Linked DNA regions of Rhinolophus ferrumequinum. The protein of the gene in region 1 interacts with the protein of each later gene in a biochemical or structural test. Links are inferred from orthologs where the notes say so. Each region holds a gene or a part of one and is shown on either strand. Other genes may lie near its edges. The genes, in order: CLSPN and USP20.

Region 1 (7,814 bases):
AAACAATAAGGTTGGGCATTAATAATTTAATAAATCAAGAGAATAATTAAATCAATCCAATCCACTTACAACCTAGGCTCCCACATTCTATTCCTAAAAATAAATGTACTATTACAAACCTCTTTCACTCAAGGGTCCTATTAGTTCACAGCTGCCCTGTCCACTGTCTGAAGGACTATCTGCTTCTTCTTGTGAAATGAGTTTTAAATCATTGATTTCTAGGTGAACCTAGAAAGTGAGAATATACTTTGCATTAACCAGGTTAACAGAAAACTTTAAGTACATAATTATACACAAGTCATCATGGGGTCATCAGGATGAAATAAGGGGAAAAAAAACACAAAAAAACAACGCAATGGTTCAACGAAGGATGACATTAAGAATTACTGGACAAAAAACAAACAAAAATTCATTGTTCACTTTTGAAAGATACTACAGAAACAACTCTGAGTACAGTAGTCCTCCGCCTTACCCCACAGTTTCACTTTCCATGATTTTCAGTTACCTGTGGTTAACTGTGGCCCGAAAATATTAAATGGAAAATTCAAGAAATAATTCATAAGTTTTCAACTGCATGCTGTTCTGAGTAGCATGATGAAATCTCACACCATGCCGCCCCGCCCATCCAGGAAGTGAATCCCCCCTTTATCCATCATATCCACACTGTATACACTTCCCAGCTGTTAGTCATTTAGTAGCTGCCTCAGTTATCAGATCAACTGTCCTGATATCACAGTGCTTGTGTCCAAGTCACCCTTATTTTACTTAATAATGGCCCCAAAGGGCAACAGCAGTGATGTTGACAATTTAAACACACTAAAGATAAGCCATAAAGTGCTTCTTTTAAGTAAAAAGGTGAAAGTTCTCAACTTAATAAGGAAAGAAAAAAACATTATATGCTGAGGTTGCTAAGATCTGCAGTAAGAACTAATCTATCTGTGAAATTGTAGAGAAGGAAAAAGAAATTTGTGCTGCTTTTGCTGTAGCAACTCAAACTGCAAAAGTTACAGCCACAGTGTTTGGATAAGTGCTTAATTAAGATGGGAAAGGCATTAAATTTGTGGGTGGAAAACATGAATAGAAAACACGTTCCAACTGACAGTAATGTGTTGCACCAGAAAGCACTGGGCCCATATGAACACTTCAGCAAGGAATCCCCCGAAACAAGTGACACCAAGCCATTTACGGCAAGTAAGGAATGGTTATATTAAGATATTTGGAGCAAGAGACCACACTCACATAACTTTTACTACAGTGTATTACTATAATTGTTCTATTTTATTATTATTGTTGTTAATCTCTTACTGCACCTAATTTATAAATTAAACTTTATCATAGGTATGTATATATAGGGAAAAAACATAGTATATATAGGGTTCAGTACTATGGCAGTTTCAGGCATCCACTGGGGGTCTTGGAAAGTATATCCTGTGGATAAGTGGGGGTACTATAACCGTAAATAAAGGAAAAGAATCAAGCATTTATTATGCCTTTTCTATGTGAACTGTTTCTCAGTCTACCCAAATGACATTAAATAACATCACAGAGATGCAACCCAGGTGTGGGAAACTCTACAATGTGATTTAACAATAAATTGCAAGAAAAAAGAGAGGGAGGGGGACCTATACACACATATCAACAACCATAATATTCGGCCTTTCTGTGGGTCCTGATTCAAACAGAGAGTGAGAGTGAGTGTGAGTGTGTGTATGTGTGTGTGTGTGTGTATGTGTGAAGGAAATCTACACTGACTAGCTATTTAATATTAAGCAATAATTCTAAATTTTTTAGGTATGGTAATAATATTGTGGTTATCTTTTTTGGAAAGCCCTTGTCTTTTAGAGATGCATACTGGAATATTTGTAGATGAAATAATGTCTAGAATTTGCTTCTAAATAATCCAGGGTGGGGGTATAAATGAAACAAGACTGGCAGGATTTGATAATTGTTGAAGTTAGGTGATCGGTTCATTACTAGCCCTTCTACATTGGTATGTTTGAAAATTTCCAAACAAATCATTTTAAACACCACAAGTGAAAAATCTAAGGAGAGGTGTGTGAGGTGACTTGATCAGTTAGTGACCAAGCTACCCTAGATGCCAGGTCTCTAACCTCCTTAGTGTCCTTAGGGCTCTGAATCAACTTAATAAGGTGAAAAATATTAATATCTGTCATGTAATAGAGGACAAGGCCTCACCCTAAAGGCTTCTCCAACAACTGTTAAGTTGATTTGAAGGCTTGGTACAATTATTAAAATAATAAGCAAAAATAACATGTACTAAAGAATTACTGAGGATCACCATGTATGTGCTGACGGTCCTCCCAACAATCCAAAGCAGGGAGACTATTAGTTCTGTTTGTGGGTCTGGAAACTGAGTGTAGGTAACTACACAGCTCAATACATGGTGATGTTCATTACTGTATTCTAGGCAATTTGTAGCAGTACCAGCAACGGTTGAAAGACAGGGCCAGGACCTAAGTGAGAAGAGAGGGTCTCAAAAAACTCACTAATCAAGATAATATCTTAAGGCAATATATATTTTTTTTAAATCATGAGGTCAGCTGCCTGCTTTTGTAAATAAAGTTTTATTGAAACTAGGGCCTGAATGAGGGTGAGGTAAGTGAGGCTGAGGGGTGCTAACTTAGAGTCAGATTTTGTCTTTACGTTTGACATTTTGGGATTTTTTTGCATTCATTTGTTTTTTTAATGTCGCATTAAAATATTATCTTGATTACTGAGTGTTTTGGCGTCTCCTTGAATTTTGCTCCCAAGGTGAGTGTCTCACTCTAGATCAGCCTCAGAAAAGAACACAGGACTGGAAACTAGTTTCTATACCCTATTCCGCCAGCGATCAGCCAGCCACCATCCCGGAGGCCTAGAGACTGGTACTTCCCCTCTCGGAGTCGGCGCGATGACCTCTTATGAACTCCCTTAGACCTCGCCGTCCACCTACAGAGAATTCTGCCCCGCATCCCAGCGGCCCGGTTCGGCTTGGGCCTTCCTCTCTTTTGGAGCCCTCTGAAAAGGAAGAGCTCCCATGGCAGGAAACGCGCCAAAGGAGAGGGCGGGCGGCGCAGGCTGAGGGGTTGCGCGGTCCGCTGAGCGCGCCGCAAAGACCAGGAGCAACATGGCCCAGAAGACCGAGACGTGGGAACCCGAGCACCGGGACTGGACCGGGAGATCCAGGGGTCGAGGAGTCTATCCCCTGGCCGTGAGGCCGAGACCCCGCGGTGCACGCCGGGAGCTGTAGGCCTCCCAGACTCCGCGACCCGCTCTGCCAGGCACTACCCCTGCTCCACCCCACCCCTCAGCGCCCAGCCTCCGCAGCCGCGGATGGAGGCATGTGTTTGAACTCACCTCAGAAGCCACTTCGCCCGTCATGACTCCGGTCTCCCCAGCACTGCGTTCAATACGAAACAGGTCTCCGGTTCCCTCAGCGGCTGAGCAGCTGCTCCCGCCGTCTCCAGCCCGGCAGCGACTTTCGAGCTTTCGCGCCTAGCCAGAGTGGAGGCCCCGCCCTCGATGATTTGCACCAATCCAGAGGAGGCTTTCTACATGAAGCCACGCCCCCAGTCGGTCCTACCAATCACTAGGCGCTTTCGACCAGCTCTACAAGTATAATCTGGGTTGGGTTGGCGGGTCGCGGTTCCCCTTGCCTACTGAGCCCCGGGGCGGCTGGAGGTATTCTGGCCACCTGGCCGTCGGGCCCTCTGGCCTTGCTAGACAGTACTGTGCAAGTGGTGGCATTTGACCTTTGATCTTTACCGTAGCGCGACAGCTCCCATCAAGCAGCAATATGAGGAGTAAGCCCTCCAAGCAGGAAGTAAGTTGGAAGAAAATTCTTGGGCACATGCGGGCATCCCTATCCCATACTATAGTCTAGTGGCCTTGTGGGGATTTTCTCCAGGACCTCCATCCCTGGAGCCTCTGCATCTTACCTGCTCCTTCTTGTACATACAGGTAGCACTCACACCACTGAAAATCAAGGAAGTAAAATTTTGCGGGCCGCTCAGATACTAAAGAATATCGTTGGATAACCTTTATAATTTTATTTAAGGTTAATTCAAGGATGCAGAAAACACCCACCCATCCCACTCCTAAGCTCTTTGGACAAGGCAGGCAAAAGAATAAAAGGTATGGAATAAGATTAATTCCAGACAATTCTAATCCCTTGTCACTGTGCTGTTTACTATGTTTTTGCCCATCCGGGTCCATGCTCTGTCTTTCCTTATCCTGCTTTGTCCAGCCAAAGTGGACTTCTCCCCACTGCATTCTTGAGCTCCCTTGCCGTCTGGCGTCAGGTTGAGTCAAACTACTGGTAGGTACTTCACAAAATTATTGTCAGCAGGAGATCAAAGGGAACCAAGAAAGAAAGGTCACAGTAGTTATCACCTCCACTTCACCCCCCATGGCCCTAACCACTGTTAGGGCGACCAACTCATCCCAATTTTCCCAACTTTCTCAGTTTTAGCATTGAAAGTCCCACCTCCTGAGACTCTCTACAGTCCCAGGCAAACCAGGATAGTCACCCAATCCACTGGCCTCCTCTTCCAAGTTTCCACCTTTAGCTGGGTTAGGATAAAAGTTCTCTCTCCTCATCTTCATTTCTTCACCTCCTCACCACTTCTCAACCCACTTCTGCCCCCACCAAAAAGAGCCTACCATCCATCCTCTTCTCTCACATCTCAGTCTTTCCATCCACTTTGCTATTAATTTTTAAGTGATAATTCCCAAATATACATCTATACACTCCTCCCTCATATTTGGAGAGCCAACATTATTGAGGGGTTACCCTGTGACAGAAACAGTTGCAAGAATTTTGCAACCATTATCTTATTTAATCTTCAGAGTAACTTTGTAAGGTAAGTAATATTACTATCTCCATTTTAGCAAATGAGGAAATTAAACCTTTAGAAGGCTAGTAACTGGTGGAGCCTGTATTCACACTCTCTTCAGTCTGACTCCAGAGCTCATACTCCTCAGAAAGATCTTGCCTGAGGACCCCCTACGTTCTCCCTCTGTCCCCTGTTTTGGTTTTCCTGATAACGCTCACCTCTGCGTAAAATTTTATCTATTTGTATATTGTTGCTCCAAGAGGTCAAGCACTTTGTTTTCTTTAACACCATATCCTCACTATCTAGAAAAATCATTCTCAAATTTGAGCATTCATCAGAATGATCTGAAGGGGTGATAAAAATAGATTGTTAGACCCCACTCCCAGATTTTCTCATTTAGTATGTCTCATGTGAGGCCCAAGAATTTGCATTTCTAACAAGTTCCCAGGTATTTTTAATGCTGGTGGTATGGAAACCATACTTGGAGAGCAAAGGGCTTAGTCAATTGTTGAACTAGTTAATTCAGTCATTTGAAAACTATATTATTATTCTTGAACCCCCTCTGGAAGTGAATAAATGAGATAGTACTCCTGCTATTAGCATTTTCAGACCTTATTAGCATTTGCTTCTCTTTATAGAGCTCCTTTTCAGTCCAAATCAGTCTGATTTGGACGATGGATGGAAGGGGTAAGCTAGGAAGGGAAAGCATTTTATTCTACGTATTAACTTGTGCCAAGCTAAAGAGAGTCTGTATTTGGAATTAGCAATCTGTATTCTCAACTTTGATGAATGGCACCATAATCCATAACTCACCAATTCAGAAAACTGGGAGTCACATTGGCTCCTCTCTGTCTCTTGTCTCTCAAAGTTAATCATCCAACAAGTTCTGTTTATGAAGTTGATGGATGACAGTAAGAGAGAGGTCTGAATGTTCACTTTGCAGGGATAAGCCAGTGAACTTGTCCCGTAAATGGCTTTGTGACCTTAGAGAAGTCATTTAGCATCTCAGAGCCTTGTTTTACTCTATTTGTTATTAGAAAACAATAGATTAGATCATAATTCTCAAATGGGTTTAATTGGCAGAGCATCCGGAACTAAGGTACTCTCTAGGAAACACTTTGCAGTACTGACACACTTGATCTGGACATGTAAATTAGGAAACATTTTCACTAGTAGGATCTATCTATCATATTACCCAAAATCAACATAGAAAAGCAATTCTGAGATTATATGTCTCTGAAAAAATAAGCCGTGGAATGTAACATGCTCAGCTCATTCCAAAATTCTATTTATATTTGCTTGCTGACAGACAAACAAAAGCAAATTCCAAAGGCTTAAGTTTGGAGGGAAAACATTGATTAAATTATATCTTTTAGTTCATCTTTTCTGCAAATCGAGAAAGGCTACCATGTTATATTTTTAGTGCTGCTATTCCTCTGGAGTCAAGTGTGAGAACTACTTGCTTTTCTAATGTCCTAGGCCGCTGAGTCTTCATTCCTGGAGACACACTGCCACCATGTGGCAGGGCTTGGTCATGTCAGTCTATCTATTACTCTATCCTATGGTAAAACCTTTTTTTTTGTGGAGGGGGAAGGGAACAGGACTTTATTGGGGAACAGTGTGTACTTCCAGGACTTTTTCCAAGTAAAGTTGTTGTCCTTTCAATCTTAGTTGTGGAGGGCACAGCTCAGCTCCAGGTCCAGTGGCCATTGTTAGTTGCAGGGGGCGCAGCCCACCATCCCTTGCCGGAGTCTAGGAGTCCAACCGGCAACTTTGTGGTTGAGCCCACTGGCCCATGTAGGAATCGAACCGGCAGCCTTCGGCGTTAGGAGCACAGAGCTCCAACCGCCTGAGCCACCGGGCTTGCCCTTTTTTTTATTTTTAATTTAAAAGTTATTCAGAGTTGTTCAAGCTTTCCTTTGGTACAGTGAAATAATTGCATCTCCCAGAATCTGCTTTAAAAAATTCATACTGTAATTCCATGTAGTTATAAAGCTTCTCTTGAAGAGTACCCTGTTTGAAGGCCAGGGCTATTTTTCTTGCTTAATGTACCCCTTGAGCTGACACATAATGAGTGCTTAATAAATAATTGTGAAATTAATGACTAAGAAACCATGGCCTAAAAAACAAAAACAAAAAATACTAGGGCGTTTTGCCAAGGCATGACGGCACACACACCATCAGCTTTTTGTATCAGCATACAAAGCTCCTTTACCGCAACTTTTGGCAACCTAAAGTACCTATAAAATATTCACCCACTCATTCAACAAACTTTGAGCACCTATTTTAAGCCTATGCTAGAAACTGAGAATATTAAGGTAAATAAACTACAGTCTTGTTTTCAGGTTTCCATTGCTGGCTGGAGATAGGCAAGCAAATAAGCTCGTATAATAGTGTAAGTATGTGCAAATAGCTGCAAGGCCCTGAGAGAGGGGCAGCTGACTGCCTGGGGAAAGTCGTGGAATATGACTCCTGAACTGAATTTCAAAGATAGATTGGAGTTCTCCAGGCTGGCACGGGAGGAGAAGGCATTCCAGGTATGTGTAGGGGCTTGATAAAGCATGTTGTGTTTGAGGAACTGAAAGTAGGTTAGTATGACTAGAACACTGGGTGTGTATATATGTGTGGTGGGGGATGGGGATGGGTGAAAGTTAAACAAGGAAGAAAAAATGTAGAATGCTATGCTTAAAGTTTAGTTTGTAGACAGTTATGAACTGGGTAGCTGGGGGGTGGGAGAGTTGTTAAGAAGGAGAGTGACATGGTTAGATATATATTTGAGAAAGATTATTCTGGCAGCATCTGAAGGATGGATTGGAAGGGGATTAGACTGGAGGCAGGAAGACCAGTTGTCTAAGTGGGAGACTATAAGGACCTGAACTAAGTCAATGACAGTAACAATGGAGAGGAGGAGATGGACTGGGAAAAAACAGGCAAAATTGACAAGGTTGTTAGATGACTAACCTTGAGGGACAAGGGACA
Region 2 (8,399 bases), on another chromosome or scaffold:
TCAGCAATAATGATGATGATTCTGAGCATATAAATATAGGAAGAGTAAACGGCAAAAATAATAATTGGTGACTCGTATGAATGGGATTTCATTATTATTCTTGTAAGTTTGATTTTTTTTGTTTTATTTTTTATTTTCTTATTTTCCCCCCCTTCTTTCACCTCCCCCCCACACACACACACTCTGGTTCAAGCCATCGTTTCTCAGTCTAGGTGTGTAGGACACAGCTCCCTGGGACATGCTGGTATTAAAAGCTTTGCGCTCCCCTCCGCCCTCCGCTGATGCAGTCGGCCGCCGGTCACCTCTCCCCGTCTGCCGGCCACCAGCCACTCATGCTGGCCGCCGGCCACTCATGGTAGCCCAGGGCAGCCCATAGCAGATGGCAAGGACCTCTTGCTCGTGGCAGCCCAGGTACAGGGAGAGCCGTTGTTCACAATCTTAGCTGTAGAGGGCGCAGCTCACTGGCCCATGTGGGAATCGAACCATCCACTGCAGCTTAGGAGCACGGCGCTCCAACAACCTGAGCCACCAGGCTGGCCCCCTTGTTTTGTTTTAAATAGAAACTTTTTAAAGATTCCCTTCCTCTTGTTTCAGGTGGAAGCAGGGAGGGGGTCTTTTGGAAAAGGTAACCCTAACTCCACAACAGAGCTCCAGGATCCAGCGCCTACTCTGAGCCAGGCACTATGCCCAGTGGTCCCCCTACACTCAGGTAAGGACCACTATTTCTTATCTTAGAGAGGAAGGATGGAGGCTCCGAGATGGGAAGCCACACAGAAAGGGACACAGCTAGAAGTAAGCCAGGTGTATCTGCGTTCATAGCCCTTCCCAACCTTCCCTCTGTGCAAATAAATGGAGTGCACATAGTAGGCGTTTCATAAGACTGAAAGGGGAAGAAACCTGCACTCCTCAGAGAACCGGATGCTGGGAACAGGACCTCTCGAGAGCAGCTGGATGACTGTGCTGTCGGGAGTCTGTGCGGTGCCCGCCCCACAGCTGGTGCCCAAATCGCCAGCCAAAGGAGTTAGGCTTTTTCCACACCCATCCCAGAGCACATCTCCCTCCTGACCCACCAGACCCGCCTCCTCTCTTGGGGATGAACAAGCAGGAGGAAAGGAGGCAGGATGGCAGGTCTGGCAAAGAGCCCGTGCATTCAAGGACCGGGTGAGGCTTCCAAGATGCTTCATCCGGAATAAGGACAGGCACTTTTCCCTCCCTGGGGCTTTCACTGAGTGAGGAGGAAAGTGCCTCCCGAGGGACGCGGCAGGCAGGCAGCATATCCGGGCCTGGCACCAGCTGCTGAGACCAGGCCTCAGGTGCCCATTACTCATCATTTTCCTGGAGGTTCTGGCTCCATCGTCCTCCCAGCCAGGAGCCAATTTCCTCTGGACAGGAAAGGTGACACTGCCACACCCCCCATTAACATAAGGACACCCACCTGCCCTGATCCTCACCACATGAGCCCTGCCACACCCCACACACCCGCGCCCACACCCCTCTGCCCCTCAGAACATGTACCCTTTCCCTCCCTCCTGCCCTCTTCTCTCCAGTAGACTTCCACGCAGCTCCATTTTCCCTAAATCCCAAATACATTCCTTCTTTTAACCCAGTCTTAATTCACTGAGGGTCCACCATCCTTCTGATTCTCAAAGGAGAACCCTCAGGCACCTCCTGCCTTGGCAAGTCCTGCTTCCCACGCATCTCCAGTTCTCCTCATTTGCCTTCCCCACCTTGCCTCCACCCAAATGGCCCCTGCATCCTGGAACTGATATTAAGAGAACTCACTAAATCCTCATAACCACCCTGGGGGATGGCCACATTGGGAGCTAAACCCATTTCCACCTCCACCACGAAAAGAGGAAAGACTGAGGCTCAGAGAGGTGGTGTAACTGGCTGGAGGTCACACAGCAGCTACTGAGCAGCTTTTGACCAAAGCCAAAAGGTTCCAAGAAGTCCTGAGTCTACTATTTGTCTCAGTCCAAGGGAGAGAACAACAACCTCAGAGGAGACTGTTCCAGAGAAAAGTAAGGCATTCCATAAATGCTGCCCAGCTTCCGAATGGTCTTCCCAAAGAGGGAACCCCAAACAGTCTCCACCAGTACCTCCCCTCAGCCAAAGAGCTATAATAACAGCAGCTTCAGCAAACATTTACTGAACTCTTACTGTGCCAGGCACTGCAAAACGTGCCTCTTTGAAGCCCGGTATCCTCATTTGCAAAGTGAAAAATAACTGAATCTACTTCATAGGATTGTTGGGAGAGTTCAATGAGATAATGCTTAGCCCAGTACCTGCCACAGAGTAAGTGCTTAATAACAGCTAATTCTTTGTCAAAGGAAAGGACCAGCCGAGATTGAGGAAAGCAAAGCCACTATTTATGCCTGGAGTTATTTCCTAAGCGTTTGTTTATGCCCTTTTTTCAAATAAACTGAATCCTCACAGCATCCCTGGGGTAAAAGGGGCAAAAGGTAGAGCGATAGTCTGCGTGACAAAGGACGAAAACAAGGCCCCCGAAGGTCCAGAGAGACGGCCGGCAAGCACCCGAGGAGGGGCCCTCTGTCCTCAAAACCCTCCCGAGTGGGTTCAAAAGATCAGACGCGCCTCTCCTCGGGGAGAAGTGGCTGGAGGTCATTATTAGCGGGGCAGTCGGCGCTGGGGCTTTAATTCACCGCCGCTAATAAGTGGTCATCTTTTTGTCCCTAAAGAGAAAAAAACACGTCAGGGCCCAGACCCCGGGGAAATATAAGTCAGCGCCCCGAATGCCACATGCGTGCTTTCAACGCTGGATCAGGCCCTGGCAGAAATAAAGGACATGGCGGCCCCTGTCCCGGAGAAGCAGCGAGCCCCCGGGAGCTCGAAGTAGGGCGACGGGACCACAAGGGACCCCCTGGGCGCTGGACGGAGGAGGGGAATGGGCGACAGCGTCCGGGGGGTCCCGGGCTCCGCTCACCTAGCCGCGGCGTCCAGCGCACTTGGCAGGGCCAGGCCCCCGCCGGCCCGGAACAGGGATTGGGTCGCCCCTGCTCCGAGAGGCCAGGCCCCCCGAAGCAGCCCGCCGCAGCCAGGAACTCACCTGCCGTCGCTACCTCGCCGCCTCAGCCTGTCAGTCAAACGCGCCCTCCGCTACGCCGCGCAGGGTCCTGGGGCCGGCTTGGCCGTGCCCCGCCTTCTCTTCCTTGGCTTCCCAATCGGAAGACGCCGACACCATCAATGGGGGCGTGGCCAGGTGGGCGGTGCCAGGCGGGGCGGGCCCAGGTAGGGCTTGGGGCGGGGCCAGGCGGAGCCGGCGCTCTGACCGCACTGCTGCGCGCCGGAAGCATACTAGGCCTTCGCGCAGCGGCGCAGCGGCTGGACCGCAGGGCTGGCGCGGTCATGCCGGTGACCGGGAAGACTTTCCGCCGGCGCCGGGCCGACTCGGAGTCGGAGGAAGATGAGCAGGACTCAGAGGAGGTTCGGTGCGTTTGGGGCGGGGTTTCCGCGGGGCAGGAAAAGAGAGGCCGACTTGGGGACCACCGGCCAGGAGCCTCGTTGACCGTATTTGCTATGAGCCGGGATTGTTGTCGCGGGAGAAGTTGAGGGTCCTAGTGATGTGGTCGCCACCCCCAAGGCCGCGCAGTTAGGAGAGTTGTCTCCGGGATGGGCAGTGGATCTGATGGGTCTTGGCGCAGGTTCGCCTTCCGTACCACTGTGCCCGCGGCTCAGCAGCGGCTTGGGGCACGGGTCGAAGCTGCTTTTTGACTCTTGAGTTCTGCGGAGGGTCTCTCAGCCTGCGTATTGCCTTTTTTCAGATTAAAACTGGAAGAGACTCGAGAGGTGCAGAACTTGAGGAAGCGGCCCAACGGGGTGAGGTGGGTACCGCGGGGGAACCTGGAGGAGCAAGGGATGACAGACACGCCCCTGCCCCGGTCGCTGTCACACATACCTCCTCAGACATAGCCCCTTTTCTTGACACACTGTACACCTTCCACTGCCCTGAAAGGGGTCTAGCATTCTTTGAAAATATTTAACCAGGAGATGCCCTGCACGGTGTGGTCTGCAGGTTTGCTCTGAAGGTGCAGAAACGGGTCAGTAAATAGCACCTATTAATGTAATTCTCCCACCCAGAGGTAACCAGTGTTATCATTTAATGTTCTTTCCGATCTGTATTCTTTCTCTGGTTTGTAAAGGGTAGTAGGTACTTATATGCTATTTTCAACTCTATGACATTGCGGACATTCACTCACATTGTGGATTATTTTCCCAAAAACCTTTTTAACGGCAGCATAACATTCCACCAAATGCATGTCCCATAATTTAGCTCATTCCCTATTTGAGGACCTGTAGGTTGTGTTGTAAACTTTCATCAAATAAGGCTGCAATATCTATCTTCCGGCATTTGTCTTTAGCTTTATTTTCCCTGAAGGCAAAATCTTAGAACTGATGTTTCCAAGCCAAGATAATGCCAAATGGCTTTATAGGAAAGTGTACCCCTTCACCCCGCCCCCAGCATCTAAAGTGCTTGTTGAGCCCTATTTCATTCTTGCAGGCTTTTCCAGCTGGCTTTGGCGCCCATCCCTCAGATCTCACCCTTGCACTAATGTTGCAACCTACAAACTTTCTAAACGTTCTTCCACATCTCTAAACTATGCCATTCCTTCCCTTTTACCCACCTTCCCTTTTTGGTTTTGCTCAGTGCTGTGGCCCTGCTGGTGGGAGAGAAGGTACAAGAAGAGACCACTCTAGTGGTAAGTTGTGGGGTCCTCCGTGAGCAGTGGGAAGATGTGGATGCTCTTCAATGAGTGATGGTGTTTTCTTTAAAAAAAGAAAAAATCCACTGCCAAGTATTAGGTTGGTGCAAAAGTAAATGTGGTTTAAAAGGTTAAAAATAACTGCAAAAACCACAATTACTTTTTCAGCAACCTAATATATAGATGTTTCCTCTTAGCTGTGTTTGTGTTCTGCAGGATGATCCCTTTCAGATGAAGACAGGCGGTATGGTGGACATGAAGAAACTGAAGGAAAGGGGCAAAGATAAGTAAGTGCAGAACACACTGACATACAGATTCACCTGTATCCCTGCTAGGGTCTGTGTGCCCCAGAGAGCTGGCCTGCAGTAGTAGCTTTAGCGGGACATCTTCAAGTATCCTTTGTGCTTTGTGCAGGGTTTCAAAACGAAAGAACACAAAAACTCTTTAAAAGTTAGCATAGAGAGATGTGGGTACACTCTTTTTGTAAAGGTGCATTGTTTTTTTGTCTTTCAAACCCATGTGGATGTTTCATTTTTCTTTTTTAAGGAAACATAAAAAAGCACAATTATAAAAATAGCACATTCAAACAATACACGAGTAAAAAATAAAATATCTGTTCATTCCCCAGAGGAATCTCCAGAGGCCAGCAGTTCACTTCCATATATTGATTTTATTTACGTATCCTATATATATTTTTCCCACTATAAACAGGATGATAAAACATGCATATTTGTCTTATTGCTATAACATAAAACTCAGCCTGAGCTGTGACTCGAAGGCCCACTTCACTCTCCTCTCCTTTTAGGATTAGTGAAGAGGAAGACCTCCACCTGGGGACGTCATTTTCTGCAGAAACCAACCGAAGGGACGAGGACGCTGACATGTAGGTGTCAGTCTGTTTGACTGTGAGCAATTGAGGGTGGGCTCCAACCAGATACAGTCCAAGATATTTAGTCACAGATGACATTTCTAGAATTATCCAAAGACATCAAAGTTGGCCCTTCTTGCCTCCATATCTGAGGCTGGAAAACTTTGAAAAATGCCTAAAAGTTCTTCAGAAGTGGTTCTTGAGATTTTAGATTCCTTGACTAGTAATATTTCCCTAAAACATTGCACAGATAAACATCAGACTACCCACTTTTTATTTTGCCAACAAGGTTGTTAAACAACTACCACCTATCATGTTTCCCCGAAAATAAAACTTAGCCAGACAATCAGCTCTAATGCGTCTTTTGGAGCAAAAATTAATATAAGACCGGGTTTATTATATTATATAAGACCCGGTCCTATTTTACTATAAGACGGGGTCTTATATTAATTTTTGCTCCAAAAAATGCGTTAGAGCTGATTGTCTGGCTAGGTCTTATTTTCGGGGAAATACGGTACAATTATTTTTTTGTCTTCGAAGAACCTTATGTTTAATAATGCCAGTAGAGTGTAGGACATAATCTCATCAGTTGGTGCTTTTAAGTTGCAAATTTTAGCTTCATGAAAACACTCGTTACTTTTGTTTTTGTTACCTCTCCATGGGCTGATGAAGATTTCATGGACCATCACTGCTCCATGGGCCAATGTTGGGGACCACTAATTTAAAAGACGCCCGTTGTGAACATTCTGCCCCTCCCTGAGACCTGTGGGTTTCTCGTTTCAGGATGAAGTACATTGAGACGGAGCTAAAGAAGAGGAAAGGGATTGTGGAACACGAGGAACAGAAAGTGAAACCGAAGAATGCAGAGGACTGTCTTTACGAGCTTCCAGAAAACATCCGTGTTTCCTCAGCAAAAAAGACTGAGGAGATGCTTTCCAACCAGATGCTGAGCGGCATCCCTGAGGTGGACCTGGGCATCGAGTATGTTTCAAACCCACGATCTACCTCTCCCCTGCCCCTAGGCTGGAGGAAGAGCTCTCTGCTTTCCAGTTCAAAGCTGAGGGGACTGTTTCTTACCTGTTTCCTTGGAAACCTACACAAACTGTATTCTCTCTGGTGGGCTGAGATGGTGGTCCCAAAAATTTCTCTGAAGAGTTGGTCAGAGTCGTAAAAGAGACTTAGGGACCCTGACTGCTGAAAGCAACAGTGTTTATTTTTATTTAGCCTTTGTTCACAGGCCCTTGTATTCTGTTTTATTCTAGCAGGAGCAATGTTAAAGACTTAGCCACCCCGTAATCTTTATCTTTTTTACTACAGAACATCTGCTCTGAAAGGGATGCCTGTGGAGGAGATACAGTGGTCAGAAACATCTTTGGGTGTAGTAGAAAGTTGGGAGACTTCTGAGTTCTTGCCTGTTTTCTGGCCTTTCTGGCTTCAAGCCTTAGACCATTCACTTTACTTGGAGGCTCACTTTCCTCTTGATCAGAAGAGGATAACTCCCCACCTCTCCAATAGTTGTGAGAGCTCCCTGAGAATGTGGCCATAAGGCCCCAAGAAAGACGGTTTCCTCCTGCAGTGGTAGGCTGCCAGTCTCACCGTGCATTTCCTTCTGAGGACCAGAGGTGTGGTGATCTAATGCGTGGCATGGCTCCTTTCTTCCCATAGTGCTAAAATAAAAAATATCATTTCCACGGAGGATGCCAAGGCCCGTCTCCTGGCAGAGCAACAGAACAAGAAGAAGGACAGTGAGACATCTTTCGTGCCCACCAACATGGCGGTGAATTACGTGCAGCACAACCGATGTAAGTTCCTCTGGGGAAGCAGCCCCGCTCCTGCGCCCATTGGTTTGAGGTCCCCTGCTTCCCATGTTTTTTGTCTGACGTGTCCGCTGATCTCTTTTGGTCCAGTTTATCACGAGGAGCTCAATGCCCCCATTCGGAGAAACAAAGAAGAGCCCAAAGCCCGACCCTTGAGAGTGGGTGACACAGAGAAGCCGGAGCCCGAGCGTGAGTACAGCAGAGGCCTCGGCTCCCTGGAGCGGTCACATTGCTCAGGGCCCATGGAGGGGGTGGAAGTTGGTAGGGGTGGAGCTTGGCTTTGGGGCCAGAGCAGCTGGGTTTCAGTCCATGCTCTGGACTATGGTCACGTGCCTTCCCCTTTCCAAACCTCAATTTCCTCATCTATAAAATTGGGAGAGTAATAAAACCTACCTCTTGGGGTTGCTCTGAGGACTCACTGGGCTGTCAAATATAAAAGAGACCCCCAAAATTAGAAAATTTTCAATAAACAAAAATAAAAGTTATTTATAATTTCACCACCCAAAGATGACCACTGTTAACGTTTTTATGTATAACCTTTCAGACTTCTTCAATATTCACACATCTAGGAAACATTGTATATACACTTACTGGGGTCTCATAGCGTTTTACTCACTACTGCACCCTGCATGTCTGTCCATGACAGTAAATACCTACTTTCCTTTTCACTGGCCATGTCACGTTCCATTGCATAGACAGATCCACTGTAGTCTATCCGTTTACCTCTGGTTGGACACTTAGGTGGTTTCTCACTTTTCCTTTGTTACACAGTGTTTCGGTGGTCATTCTTGATGACATCATGTCCGTAGGCTACATTCTAATAAGTCGCCAAATGATAGCCGATAGTCTAGAAGTGTGATGCTCATGTGTTTTCTCAGCATCCGACAGTGCCCCTTCCCACAAGCTGACCGGCACCAGGAGGGCTCATCTTTTTTATCAACAGTGGGATGATTCGAAGGAAATGCAAAATTTGCTGAGGCTGTTACTCTGTTT

What was found.
Region 2: of the proteins of CLSPN (region 1) and USP20, one has a biochemical effect on the other in vitro, tested with the Homo sapiens proteins (2 studies listed by BioGRID, with this or other methods). The link is inferred for Rhinolophus ferrumequinum from reciprocal best matches to the Homo sapiens genes CLSPN and USP20.

The regions. Positions count from the first base shown.
Region 1 is NC_046292.1:24,819,707-24,827,520, forward strand, and holds the start of CLSPN (claspin), read right to left. Parts: upstream 3,503-7,814; 5' UTR 3,382-3,502; coding exon 3,358-3,381; intron 229-3,357; coding exon 120-228; intron 1-119.
Region 2 is NC_046295.1:78,218,548-78,226,946, reverse strand, and holds the start of USP20 (ubiquitin carboxyl-terminal hydrolase 20), read right to left. Parts: upstream 3,198-8,399; 5' UTR 3,068-3,197; intron 3,051-3,067; exon of another isoform or gene 2,945-3,050; intron 1-2,944. Other genes in the region: C12H9orf78 (splicing factor C9orf78 homolog), read left to right, coding at 3,367-3,449, 3,783-3,842, 4,667-4,718, 4,938-5,008, 5,527-5,604, 6,373-6,570, 7,255-7,391, 7,497-7,595.